Linked DNA regions of Nothobranchius furzeri. The protein of the gene in region 1 binds, or shares a complex with, the protein of each later gene. Links are inferred from orthologs where the notes say so. Each region holds a gene or a part of one and is shown in the gene's direction. Other genes may lie near its edges.

Region 1 (5,760 bases):
AGGGCTGGGGTTAACCCTAGCCCTCTGCCCTCTGCCCTCACCACAGAACTGCACTGAAACATTGGTTTGTGCACATCAGCATTTGAGACTGGAGCTAATTCAGTAGTTGTAGTGATGGGTGCCAACCCTGCTCATGGATCACCTCACAGGTGTGAACATTTATCTGTTAGCAAGATAAAACTATCAGAACCGGCTGACTGGGCTCTTCAGACCTGAACCAGGTGGTTCTGCAGCAGCTGAACCCAGACAGCCGCTGAGTGTGAAACCTCCAGTAGGGGTTAGGGTTATGGAGTTGGTAACCGGTTATGTTTAGTTAACAGTTATACGGTCGCCCATCACATACATGGTTGTGTAATGAGAGCAGATAAAGAAGCAGGAGGAGGGATGAAGCTTTCCATGTTGGAAACTTGAAAAAGAACCCATCCAGTTTTGTACAAAACAAACAAAAACAAACAGGAAGAATGAATAAATACAACAATTAGCCAAATGAACCAGTAAAACCGTGTGATTTAAAAATGGTGGCCATGCTTGCGACCCTCTAAACTACCTCACCGTGCAGTTGTGCTGACACGAGCCACCAGAACCTGCATGAGTCCGCCCCGGTGGTGTGCTCGGGTTCATCGTTACGTTCTCCAACCATTTCCATACATCAGGCAGTGAAATATTCCTATGAAAGTAACCATCGGCGCGTAAAGCTCACGCGACTTTTACTGTTTAATGCATCCAGATGTTTCCTGCTAGAGGATGTGGACATCACGGAGAAGAAGCGCCACACGTGTGTTTGGCAGGTCTGGGTGACACACCTGATGGGTCTGAAGGGATTTCATGTAGGAAGTGGAAGTGAAGACGTCCACAGATGTGGACTTGGAGACGTGTCCATCACCAGAAACGTGCTTCCTGATAACATCAGTGTTCCTCTTGGTTTTGCTCAGAGCTCTGGCCGACTCTCAGAACCGTCCCTGTGCCTCCCGGTGGAGGACTCCCAGGATCTGTACGCCCCCCCGTCCCCCGGAGCCGACTCTGGACCCATGGGAGGAGCAGCTTCTGGTCCCGGTCTGGGCGGAGACTCGCAGGGACGCTTCTCCCTGGAGGACGACGCCCACTCCCAGCTCTTAGACGCAGACGGCTTCCTAAACGTGGGTCCTCGACCCGGAGCACCGCGGTCCCACAAGAGGAAGCTGGTCCTGGACAGCCTGGATGAGAACGCCATGGACGCCAACATGGGGGAGCTGCTGGGGCTGTGCTCGGGGGGGTTCGATGAGGACCAGCACCGTGGGACTACGCAGCAGGACGAGCTGCTGGGATTGTGCTCCGGAGCCTTCCCACAGACCCAGGAGGGGCGGCGTGAGGAACTCCACGGTACCACGGATCAGCTGATGGGTCTGGGTTCTGGAGAATTCACCGAAGCTGGTAGGAAGTACCGGAGTGGTTGGCAGGAGGGGGCGGAGCTACAGAGATTATTTATTACTTTTATCCTTTTGTTTCAGATTCGGTTCCGACGACTTCGTCAGCTGAGAACAGGTTCGGCATCTTTATCGTTCCCGTCCAAACCGGCGGCGGTGCAGTGCTGACTGTGTTTTTATTTTGAAAGGACAAAAACGGAGGAGGAGCAGGAGGAGGAGGAGCAGGAGGAGCAGGAGCAGGAGGAGGAGGAGCAGGAGGAGGAGCAGGAGGAGGAGGAGCAGGAGCAGGAGCAGCAGGAGGAGGAGGAGCAGGAGCAGGAGGAGGACGACTGCGAGTTCCACCTTCTGTCAGACGTAGAGAGTGAGAAGGTAAAATAATCTAAACCATCCTGCTGATCTGGAGTCAGATCCTGAAACGTGTGTGTGTGCGTGTGTGCGCGCGCGTGTGTTTATGCGTGTGCGCGCGTGTGTTTATGCGTGTGTGTGTGTGTGCGTGTGTGTGTGCGCGCGCGTGTGTTTATGCGTGTGCGCGCGTGTGTTTATGCGTGTGTGTGTGTGTGTGTGCACGTGTGTTTATGCGTGTGTGTGTGTGTGTGTGCACGTGTGTTTATGCGTGTGTGTGTGTGTGTGTGTGTGCGCGCGCGTGTGTTTATGCGTGTGTGTGTGTGTGTGTGCACGTGTGTTTATGCGTGTGTGTGTGTGTGTGTGCACGTGTGTTTATGCGTGTGTGTGTGTGTGTGTGTGTGCGCGCGCGTGTGTTTATGCGTGTGTGTGTGTGTGTGTGCACGTGTGTTTATGCGTGTGTGTGTGTGTGTGTGCACGTGTGTTTATGCGTGTGTGTGTGTGTGTGTGTGTGTGTGTGTGCACGTGTGTTTATGCGTGTGTGTGTGTGTGCAGGAGGAAGAGGAGCAGGTGGTTTTCACACATCGACTCCAGAAGAAGAAGAAAATGTAAAACGTCTCTTAAGCGTAATTTAAACAGGAAGTTGTCGTTGGAACTTCCTGGTTCTGAAGCTGGTCTCTCCGGGTCCGGTTCTGGTTCCTTTGCAGAACGCTGATGGACTACGTGGATTCAGAGGCGGAGCTGTCAGGCAGCGACCTGGGCAGTGATGATGAGGATGATGATGGTGGTGGGAGTGAGTATGAGGAGGAGGAGCTTCTGGAAGAACTTCCCTCTGATGAGGAGCTGCAGAACCAAGTCAACAAGATCCACATGTGAGTGCCTCTAGTGGGCCATTCCCATCGGTACCGGGTCGGCCCGGGCCGGGTAGCGTAGGTTGTTACATATCTGGGTGGCCTGGTATTGTTCCGGGCCAACCAAGGCTCATTCTCAGCCCTCTTCTGGAGGGGGTCTGCTTCAGGCCGACCAGGGCCAACACACCCACTGCTGACAGCAAATTCACACCTTCCATTAGAGCAAGCCTCTGATTGGTGGCTAGAATCAGCCCACATGGGCTTAAGGCAAGGATGTGTGGAATCAACCGGGCCAGGCTGGGGCCAACTGGGGCTACCCGGCCCGGGCCGACCCGGTACTGATGGGAATGGCCCATAAGGTTCTAGAAGGTTCCTATGGTTCTTTGGGGTTCCGTTCCACAGGAAGCAGCTCTTGGATGATGACAAGCGGCGCCTGCGGCTGTACCAGGAGCAGTACCTGGCCGACGGGGACTTGCACTCCGATGGCCCGGGCCGAGCTCGCCGCTTCCGCTGGAGAAACATCGGTGAGCCGATCCAGGAAGAGCGCCGGCGTCGGCGGGTCCCGTCCAGATTCTGACCTTCGGCGTGATAGCTGATCGGGTTTTCCCTCTCACCCAGACGATGTCTTCGGCGGGGACGGGGCGGGCCCCGGCGGGAACGAGGACGGGGACGAAGAGGAGGACGTAGACGTGAGCGAGGTTCAGAGGAGGAAGGACCGGCTGGAGAGAGAGCAGTGGCTCCGAGAGCAGGTGATTCCCGCCGGGAAGGATCCCGTCGGTGTTTGTTCCGTCTTCATTTGTTTGTCTGCTTCCTGTCAGTCGGAGCAGGAAAGCAGGAAAGGGCGGGACGAGGACGAGGAGTTGGGAGGCGAAGACAGTCGCTTCATGAAGCTAGCCCAGAAGCTAACGGCCAGAACCCTGCAGAGAACAGGTGTGTCACCCTCAGGTGTTTCATTAGCGTGGTCCGGATTAGCCCGGGTTGCTAACTGAACTGTCTACCTGCTGGAACCAGAACCTCCTGCAGGACCACAACCAGAACAAAAGTCCACCTCGGCTCTGAATCCTTTCCAGAGACCCTCTGGGCCCCCACAGGTGCGTCTCAGGTGTGGCGTTTAGAGGTCTACCCTGGGCTGCAGAAGGTTCTGACTGTGGCTCTGTTCCAGGTGAGGAGGGGTTCTCTCCTGAGCCAGCCTCAGGCCGTCCTCCAGAAGCTGGCCTCCATCTCCGACGGGAACTTGCTGGCGCCCAGGAACAGCCGGGGCTTCCTGTTTCAGACGCTCTCACCTGAGAAGGTGGGCCAGCCGTCGAACGCACCGCAGAAACAGGTGAGTCGTGGTGATGTCATAAAGGGCGTGGTCCGTCCCTACTGGAATGTCCCTGAAGGTTCTAGAGCCAAACAGGAAACCCAGCAGAACATTCAGGAGGACCCAGTCACACACGTTAGCGAAGAGCTCCTCTGCTCCTGCAGGGGGCGCTCCTGGTCCGCTACCTGCACCAGAACCAGAACCAGAGCTGCAGGAAGTAAAAACTGCTCTGAATGTTTGGTCTTCAGGTGATGAAGAGGCGGAGTCAGGCAGAGGTGGCGAGTCCATCAGCCAAGAGGATCTGCAGAGAGACCGAGAGCTCCCAGAGGAGCATCTTCAGCTTCTTGGACCACTGAGAGGAGCTGGTCCTGCTGGTCCTGGATCAGCGTCTCAGGATGAACTCCAAGGTGTTCTCCAGCTGATCCTGGAAACACTGGCGGGGAAATTCCTGCTCATCGTGTACATAAAGAATATTTGGAGGCATGAAGACTGATGGGTCCGGGTCTGGACCGGGACCTGGACCGGGGTGTGGGTCTGGGTGTGGACCTGGACCAGGACCTGGTCAGATGTAACCTGATTCTAAATGTTTTACATTCATTCCCTAAATAAAGTGAATATTTAGTTTTTCTGCTGATGCTTTGGTGAATTTTTAATACGTTCATGCTCGGGGGGGGGGGGGGGGGGGGGGGATCAGTAAAGCACCTGCTCCACCCAGGAGACCCGTTCAGCTGTTAACCCGACTAACTAGTCTCCCAGTGGTGAATGACGGGTGAGCTGTTTCTGTCTCATTAGGAGGAGGAGGCCCCCCCCCCCCCCAGCTGATGGTTACATTCAGAATCAGAGGTGTGTGTGTGTGTGTGTGTAGATGGATGTAAGGGTGTGGGTGTGTGTGTGTGTGTGTGTAGATGGATGTAAGGGTGTGTGTAGATGGATGCATCTACACACACCCTTACATCCATCTACACACACACACACACACCCTTACATCCATCTACACACACACACACACACGGTAAATGATGTAGCACCTGCTAGTCATGGAACCCCCCAAAGTGCTTTACACCGAGCTGGATTAAATAAATGGACTACACTAGGCAGGCTGCATTCCCCCCCCCCCCCCCACCCCCAGTGAAATCTGAAACTTAACAAAGGTACTGATAAAAGTTCGTTCACATGTTACACAGCCTAGTGTTTGGTTACCAGTTAGTTGTTTGTGTGCCAGAATAAGTCATGTGTTGCATGTTAAACATATCAGACAATGTTTTGATATTAATAATTCATACGTCATTACACAGCTGTATTAAATGCTAATAAATGATCCTCATCGAGTGGGAGTGCCATTGTCAAGGCGGTAGTACCAGTAAATAACCACTAGGTGTCATCAAACTATGTAAACAGCAAAAATGTGTCTCTTATTTGCTGTGTTTACATTTAATCACTACTTTAATTACAAATATTTTCTGCTAAATACAATAGCTTACAGCATTTATAAATGTTGACAAATTAATCACATGATGGTGGAAAGACATTCAAGCAGAAATAGATTCATGTGAATGGACTGAAGCATGATTTAAAGACGCTAAAATAAACCATAAACACGCAGCCTAAATTATTACAGTATAAATTTAATAAAACCTATAATCTTAAAAGAAAGTATTTTAATAAAATGAAAACGTTATCTTAAGTGTTGATCTTGCTTTATGCTCATTCAGGCTGTTGTTGCCTCTGCTGGATCAGAAACTGTGTTGATTTTCTGAGTGTGAACTTATTGTTTTGCTATTTGAACGTTAATAAAAATATTTAAAAACATTTTTAATAAAACCAACAACACTTACCAAGGAAACCATTTAGCATGCTCCAC
Region 2 (5,704 bases), on another chromosome or scaffold:
CACCAGAGCCGGGCGCACTGCGCCGTTATCTCCGTCGCTGTAAATGAGGGAAAAACAAAATGATCGGATCCTTTTCTGACCTTCCCCACCTACAAAGTTTAATTACAACAATCAAACGTGACAGAGCCTGGATTTGTATTCTGAACAGTCTAAACATGTTTTAAAAAGAAACGCATGACAAAAGTGGCACCTGCTCAGTAAAACCATCAACAGGGTGAAAAATATCAAAATATTGTAGGCAGAGACGGGCTACAACTTCTGGATCCATTTTATATAAATCGTTTTATTGATTATCGTCTTATGAAAGATAACTTTGACGTACACGAGCGACCGGTACCGGCTGCTGTCACCTGTTGTGAGCAGCTCTCTGCTGTCTGAGGGTAGGCCCCGCCCACAACGCCGCTGCTGCTGTGGCTCCCACTGTTTTCTTTACTGTGGGAAACGGGTAATAATGGCTCTTTGATGGGAACAGGTTGCCGACCCCTGGTTTAAGTGTTCCAATTTTTTTAATGAATTCAATTAAAAATAAAGGCGCACGGCCCGTGTCCGAGGTAATTACACAGTCGTTGGCCCGAAGCCTGGCCTGAGGGCCGTCGGGCCGGGCTGACCCGAGGGCCTAGGGCTTCCGTGCAGGGCTCTAGTGAGCACCACCTCACCCCTGCTACATGGACCTCAAGGGATAAACCATCAACCCTGCTCAATAGTCAACTTCCCTCGCGGGGTCACCCGTAAAGACAGTGGAAGGGTTATATCACCATTTATAATCATTTCTCCTGCGTCATCCTAGTATTAGAAATATAGTAATAAATAGATTTTTATAAACTACATTTTTGCCTCTGTGTCAAATTATTATAAGGTTTTGGTTCCCTGGCATATCCAAAGTACCTAGTTTCATCATCAATCAAATATTAAAGGTTCAATAACATTGCTAATCCATATTTTTATTGAATACTTTTATATTTAGTTGAAATTTTATTAAAAGTAACCACTTCATAACATTCCACCTCTCAATGTCACTAACACACCCTCAAACACTTGAGCTTTGTTGACATGTTGAGTTATTTATTGATGAAACACTAGAAAGAACCAAACTGGAATCTCGATTGTTTTTCTTCTCATTCTACATGAGCTAAGCAGGTAATTACGTAAATTTTCTTCTTGATCACCTGGAAGATTAATCTCATATGTATAATAAGAGGTTAGTCACTGAAAGAAAAAGTATATCCTTTACTGATATTGTCTCAGTTTGGTGCTTGGATGTTTTCAACCGCGCATCATATCATCTTTGTGTCTCTTGTGGCTGATCTACATTTAACACAGATGTATGATGTTGAGGTTTCCAACTCTGAGATGCTTTCTCTCACTCTCTCTACTGGACACGCCTGGTAACAGCTCATCCGTCTGATACATATTTTACACACTTAGATTTTTAGATAATAGCTGTCAAAAACAACACATTTCATTTCATGGACTGAACACATTTTTGAGCCCTTTTCCCAAAAAAATTATCCACTCACAAAGGATCGGTCTAGATCTCTATTCCTCCAGGATTTAGCAAAGAATTTTTCTGTTCAGTTTCTCAAACAGAAGGTTGGAAAATCACACTCCATCCATTTACTGTCAGTGTTTGGTTTTAGGAATTATGTTCCTAAAACAAGCTGTTTCAAAAAGTCCCTGTTTGTGATGTCACAAACAATAAATAAACAAATGGTGCAAAGTTGCGCCATATCACACTTTTGAAATTCATACGACAATTCATGGACAATGTGCACAACAGAATGGGTATTATAGCGGCATATTTTATTCTACATGGCAGATAAAAACGTCCTACAATGCAAGTGTGGTCTGTAAAATGTATATCTGCATGTCCTGTGCTGAGTATGCTTTGACCTACAGTCCTTTGTGTGCAGGCAGCAGCGGCTTTCATTCATTAATCTTTGAACAGCTCAGGGAGAACCAGGTGGATGATTGGGTGCTGTGTACTATTTCACCAGAGGGGGGCGGAAGTGTGCGCTTGCTGTAGGTTTCCTGCAAAAGCGTAGAAGAAAAAGAGGAAATGACGCAATGTCTCCGGTAAAACAACAAGGCGCCAAATTTGTGCCCCTTTATCACAGATGCACATCCATGGCGGAGTTAGAATAAATGTGTTTTGTGACTCGTCACATGTGGGAAACGCAGCTCAGGGAAAAGGCGGTGGAGGTAAGACAGTCACATGAATCATCGCTGAACAGATATGGAGGCATCGTGACATTAGCGCTGCTTCACATCCTGCAAACGTTAAAGTTTGGCGCTGTTTGTCTTTAATGATGAGTTTTTTTTATACACGTTACATACGTGTTGTGTGTTTTGTGTTTACTGAAGCATCATGGCGGTGCCTTTTGTCCAGGACTGGGACCTCGTTCAGACTCTGGGAGAAGGAGCATATGGAGAGTAAGAACATCATATATATAGTTCAGTAGCTGCTGGGCTAAATGCTGCACCAAACCTTAATGCAGGTTAAAGTCGAGCTGCGTTTTTCTTTACTCAAGCTACTTTTGTTTAATAATTAAGTTCTGGTTAAATGCACGTTGTAATTCACACCATCCAATCCAATTTTATTTATAAAGCGCATTCACAAGGCATTACAACCAAACAAGGCGCTGTACACTAAAAATGTTGGTTAATTAAACAGGCGTTATATAAACATGTCGAACACAGATAAAAGATAAAAAGGAAATACAACAAAATTCCCAAAAATAACAGCTAAAAATCATTAAGACACAGGGTGAAGTAAAAATAGGAAAAAAAAAAAACATCACCTTTATCAGATGTGCACCGGTTGTGATTTTGTAGGCCGATATCTGCGGCATTTACTGATCTTAAAGAAAAGGGCTGATGGTGAGTTCATGGACCAGTCATTTCTATTGCGTTCACTCATCCGAAAAGTAGAGTTTTGGGTTGGTCAATCACCAGTTTAGCTAATCAGGCTGACATTTGTCCGGTTCCGGTGCGTTTCTAGTTTTTGTTTTACTCCAAAAGTCTGTTCTATTTTCTTTCTTATAGAAATTCTGATTTATTTCTCTTTTTGTTCTGAACCATGCTCTTTCAGAGTGAGGCTGCTGGTGAACAGACACACTGAAGAGGCAGTGGCAGTGAAAGTCGTCGATACCTCTCAGTCTAAAGAGTGTGCAGACAACGTGAAAAAGGAGGTCTGCGTCCATAAGGTACCTGTCTTACTGAGCTGCAGAAAACACATTTACCTTCTTCTGAGGATTTTTAAGTCAAACACTTCTGTTCTGATTTTAGAAATAAACAAAGTGTGCTGGTTCAACGTTTGAAATCAGTGATAGGGCCGCACAATATATCGTAAATATATCGTTATCGCGATATCAGCATGTGCAATATGCATATCGCAAAGAACAGATAAATATTGCAATGAATGGTCAGCTCAAATGTTTCGTCTTCATCTTCCTCCGCTTATTCGGGTCCGGGTCAAATGTTTGCTACACATAATGCGTTCTGTCAATCAAACGGAAGTGTGATGTTTTTTTAACAAATAAAACAGCTTTTCACCCATTTGGCCAATTGGATGGGTTCTCATAGGTTAGATGCCCGCCCCCGAGGCGGACGGCACTTAATTTTGATGGTTAGCAAACACCTTAAGTTAGCTTTTTTCTGCTCTTTTTGCTGATTCTGCTTTTCCCGGGTTCCACTGATTGTCTTTTCTTCACATCTTTTGCTTTTGTCATTTTGAAGAAATTTTTTGTCATTTTTAAAATTTATTTATATATATATTTTTTTTTATTATTTTAGTTCCTGAGTTAAGTTATTATTTATTGCAAGTAATATCATCATCGCAATATTAATCACTATCGGACATTGCATGTTTTCCTAATATCGTGCAGCCCTAATCAGTGATTAAAAATACAACCTTGTTCTTTGTCAGATGCTCAACCATCCCAACATTGTGAAGTTTTTTGGGCATCGGAAAGAAGGAGCGACTGTTTATCTGTTTCTGGAGTACTGCACCGGAGGAGAGCTGTTTGACCGGATCGGTAAAACACTGCGGGCTCTCTGATAAAACTGTATTTTTGCAGCAGACTGTTGGTGTCTGTGAAGTGCAGATCAGTTTATTATCTTAACTAGTTCCTGCCTAACTCGAGTTCTTGTCTTTCTGGTGTTTTAGAGCCTGATGTGGGAATGCCAGAGAGGGATGCTCACAGGTTTTTCCAGCAGCTAATGTCAGCTGTGGTGGGTGAATGTTTGTGTTGTTTGCCTGATTCGGGCTCTTTTTTTATTCTTTTATTTGCTTCTTCTCAGGAGTACCTCCACAGCCTTGGCATCACCCACAGAGACATAAAGCCCGAAAACATTTTGCTGGATGACAAAGGTGGGCAAATAGAGTGCCACAGTTTTTTTTTAATGATTTCTCATAACCATGCATCATTTTTTTTTATCTTCTAACCTTTAGACAACTTAAAGCTGACTGATTTTGGCCTAGCCACCATGTTTCGGTTCAAAGGACGTGAGCGCCAGCTGAACCGACTCTGTGGGACTCTTCCCTACGTTGCTCCAGAACTTCTCAGCCAATCAGAGTATAGTGCTCAGCCTGCAGACATCTGGGCTTGTGGCATCGTCCTGACGGCCATGCTAGCTGGAGGTGAGATCCCACACGGTCCAGGCACCCGCTGTCTTTCAGGGGGTTTTAGTGTAACAGACTAATCATCCCGATCAATGCTCTATACTTTCATAATTTGAATTAATAACTTAAAGGCGACATATTATGCAAAATCGAACTTTTGTGCTACCATGTGGGTCTCGACTGGCTCTGTAAACTCTCCAAACATGGAAAAAAAATCCATCCATCTGTTTTCTGTTCGTGTGGTTTTTAGGTTTTATGTGCCTAAAACAAGCCGTTTCAGAAAGTCCCTGTTTGTGATGTCACAAATGGGGAAAGTAGAAGTAAACTGTCTCTCACGTGCTAAAGAGCTGCTACCAGGGGTGCAGGGCTCTACTCCGAGCATCTTCTGGCTGTCAGAGCTTCTCAGCTTATAGCAACCTGAGTGGGGGGTGGGTGGGTGTGACCAGCAACTGCTTGTTTTCTTAAAGTGACAGAGTCCTAAAATGGCTCATTCTGGAAGGTACTGAAACTGTCAACAATAAAACTAGTGTTCGAAGGACACCACTACTCAGCCTAAAACAGCTCTGTACAGTGTGGGTTAAGTCGGCTCACCTGAGTGTTTCCATGCCAGCTCTATGACAGAGTGTGCTTGCACCCCTCATAGGTGCAAAGTGATCTGTATGTTACACAGAAACACAACTCGGCACAGAAAGGGTGATGTTGTTGGACATTCTGCTCAGTTTTATGGATTTCTGTCAGAATCTGAACCAGAAAACGGCAGCAGGCAGAAATTTCTGGAGCACCCAGTGACTCCGCCCCCTAGTCAATTAGTGGCCACAGTAGCGATGCTGGCCCGACTCAGCCTTGACAGGTACCTAAATGGAACAGGGACTAAATACTGGGAAAAGTAGAGGGAAAGTACTGAACCCTTTCCTTTGGAAAACGTGGTTGGGCTGAGCTGCACCGGTCCAAGTACTGAGTAGAGCCCTTCAAAAACTAGCTCAAAACTGTTGAGATCTCTTTATGTGAGACAGATTTAGTTCAAAGAACTTCCTAAACTTGTTTTGTAATGACCATTAAACTATTATAGATTAAGAAAATGCC

The links.
Region 2: the proteins of claspin (region 1) and chek1 are in contact, whole or in part, in a crystal structure (PDB 7AKO), measured with the Homo sapiens proteins. The link is inferred for Nothobranchius furzeri from reciprocal best matches to the Homo sapiens genes CLSPN and CHEK1. Residues at the interface, in NP_071394.2 of Homo sapiens: Glu938, Leu940, Leu941, Leu943, Cys944, Ser945, Gly946; in NP_001107593.1 of Homo sapiens: Lys53, Lys54, Cys57, Met61, Arg129, Thr153, Val154, Phe155, Arg156, Tyr157, Asn158, Arg160, Glu161, Arg162.

The regions. Positions count from the first base shown.
Region 1 is NC_091759.1:26,764,361-26,770,120, forward strand, and holds the end of claspin, read left to right. Parts: intron 1-932; coding exon 933-1,410; intron 1,411-1,487; coding exon 1,488-1,521; intron 1,522-1,591; coding exon 1,592-1,772; intron 1,773-2,300; coding exon 2,301-2,353; intron 2,354-2,452; coding exon 2,453-2,617; intron 2,618-2,998; coding exon 2,999-3,120; intron 3,121-3,214; coding exon 3,215-3,345; intron 3,346-3,414; coding exon 3,415-3,526; intron 3,527-3,607; coding exon 3,608-3,687; intron 3,688-3,758; coding exon 3,759-3,920; intron 3,921-4,147; coding exon 4,148-4,255; 3' UTR 4,256-4,390; downstream 4,391-5,760.
Region 2 is NC_091750.1:44,931,122-44,936,825, reverse strand, and holds the start of chek1 (serine/threonine-protein kinase Chk1), read left to right. Parts: upstream 1-2,045; 5' UTR 2,046-2,142; coding exon 2,143-2,199; intron 2,200-2,361; exon of another isoform or gene 2,362-2,365; coding exon of another isoform or gene 2,366-2,386; coding exon 2,387-2,430; intron 2,431-3,088; coding exon 3,089-3,203; intron 3,204-3,925; coding exon 3,926-4,034; intron 4,035-4,165; coding exon 4,166-4,230; intron 4,231-4,299; coding exon 4,300-4,369; intron 4,370-4,450; coding exon 4,451-4,639; intron 4,640-5,704. UniProt on the Homo sapiens protein: Serine/threonine-protein kinase which is required for checkpoint-mediated cell cycle arrest and activation of DNA repair in response to the presence of DNA damage or unreplicated DNA.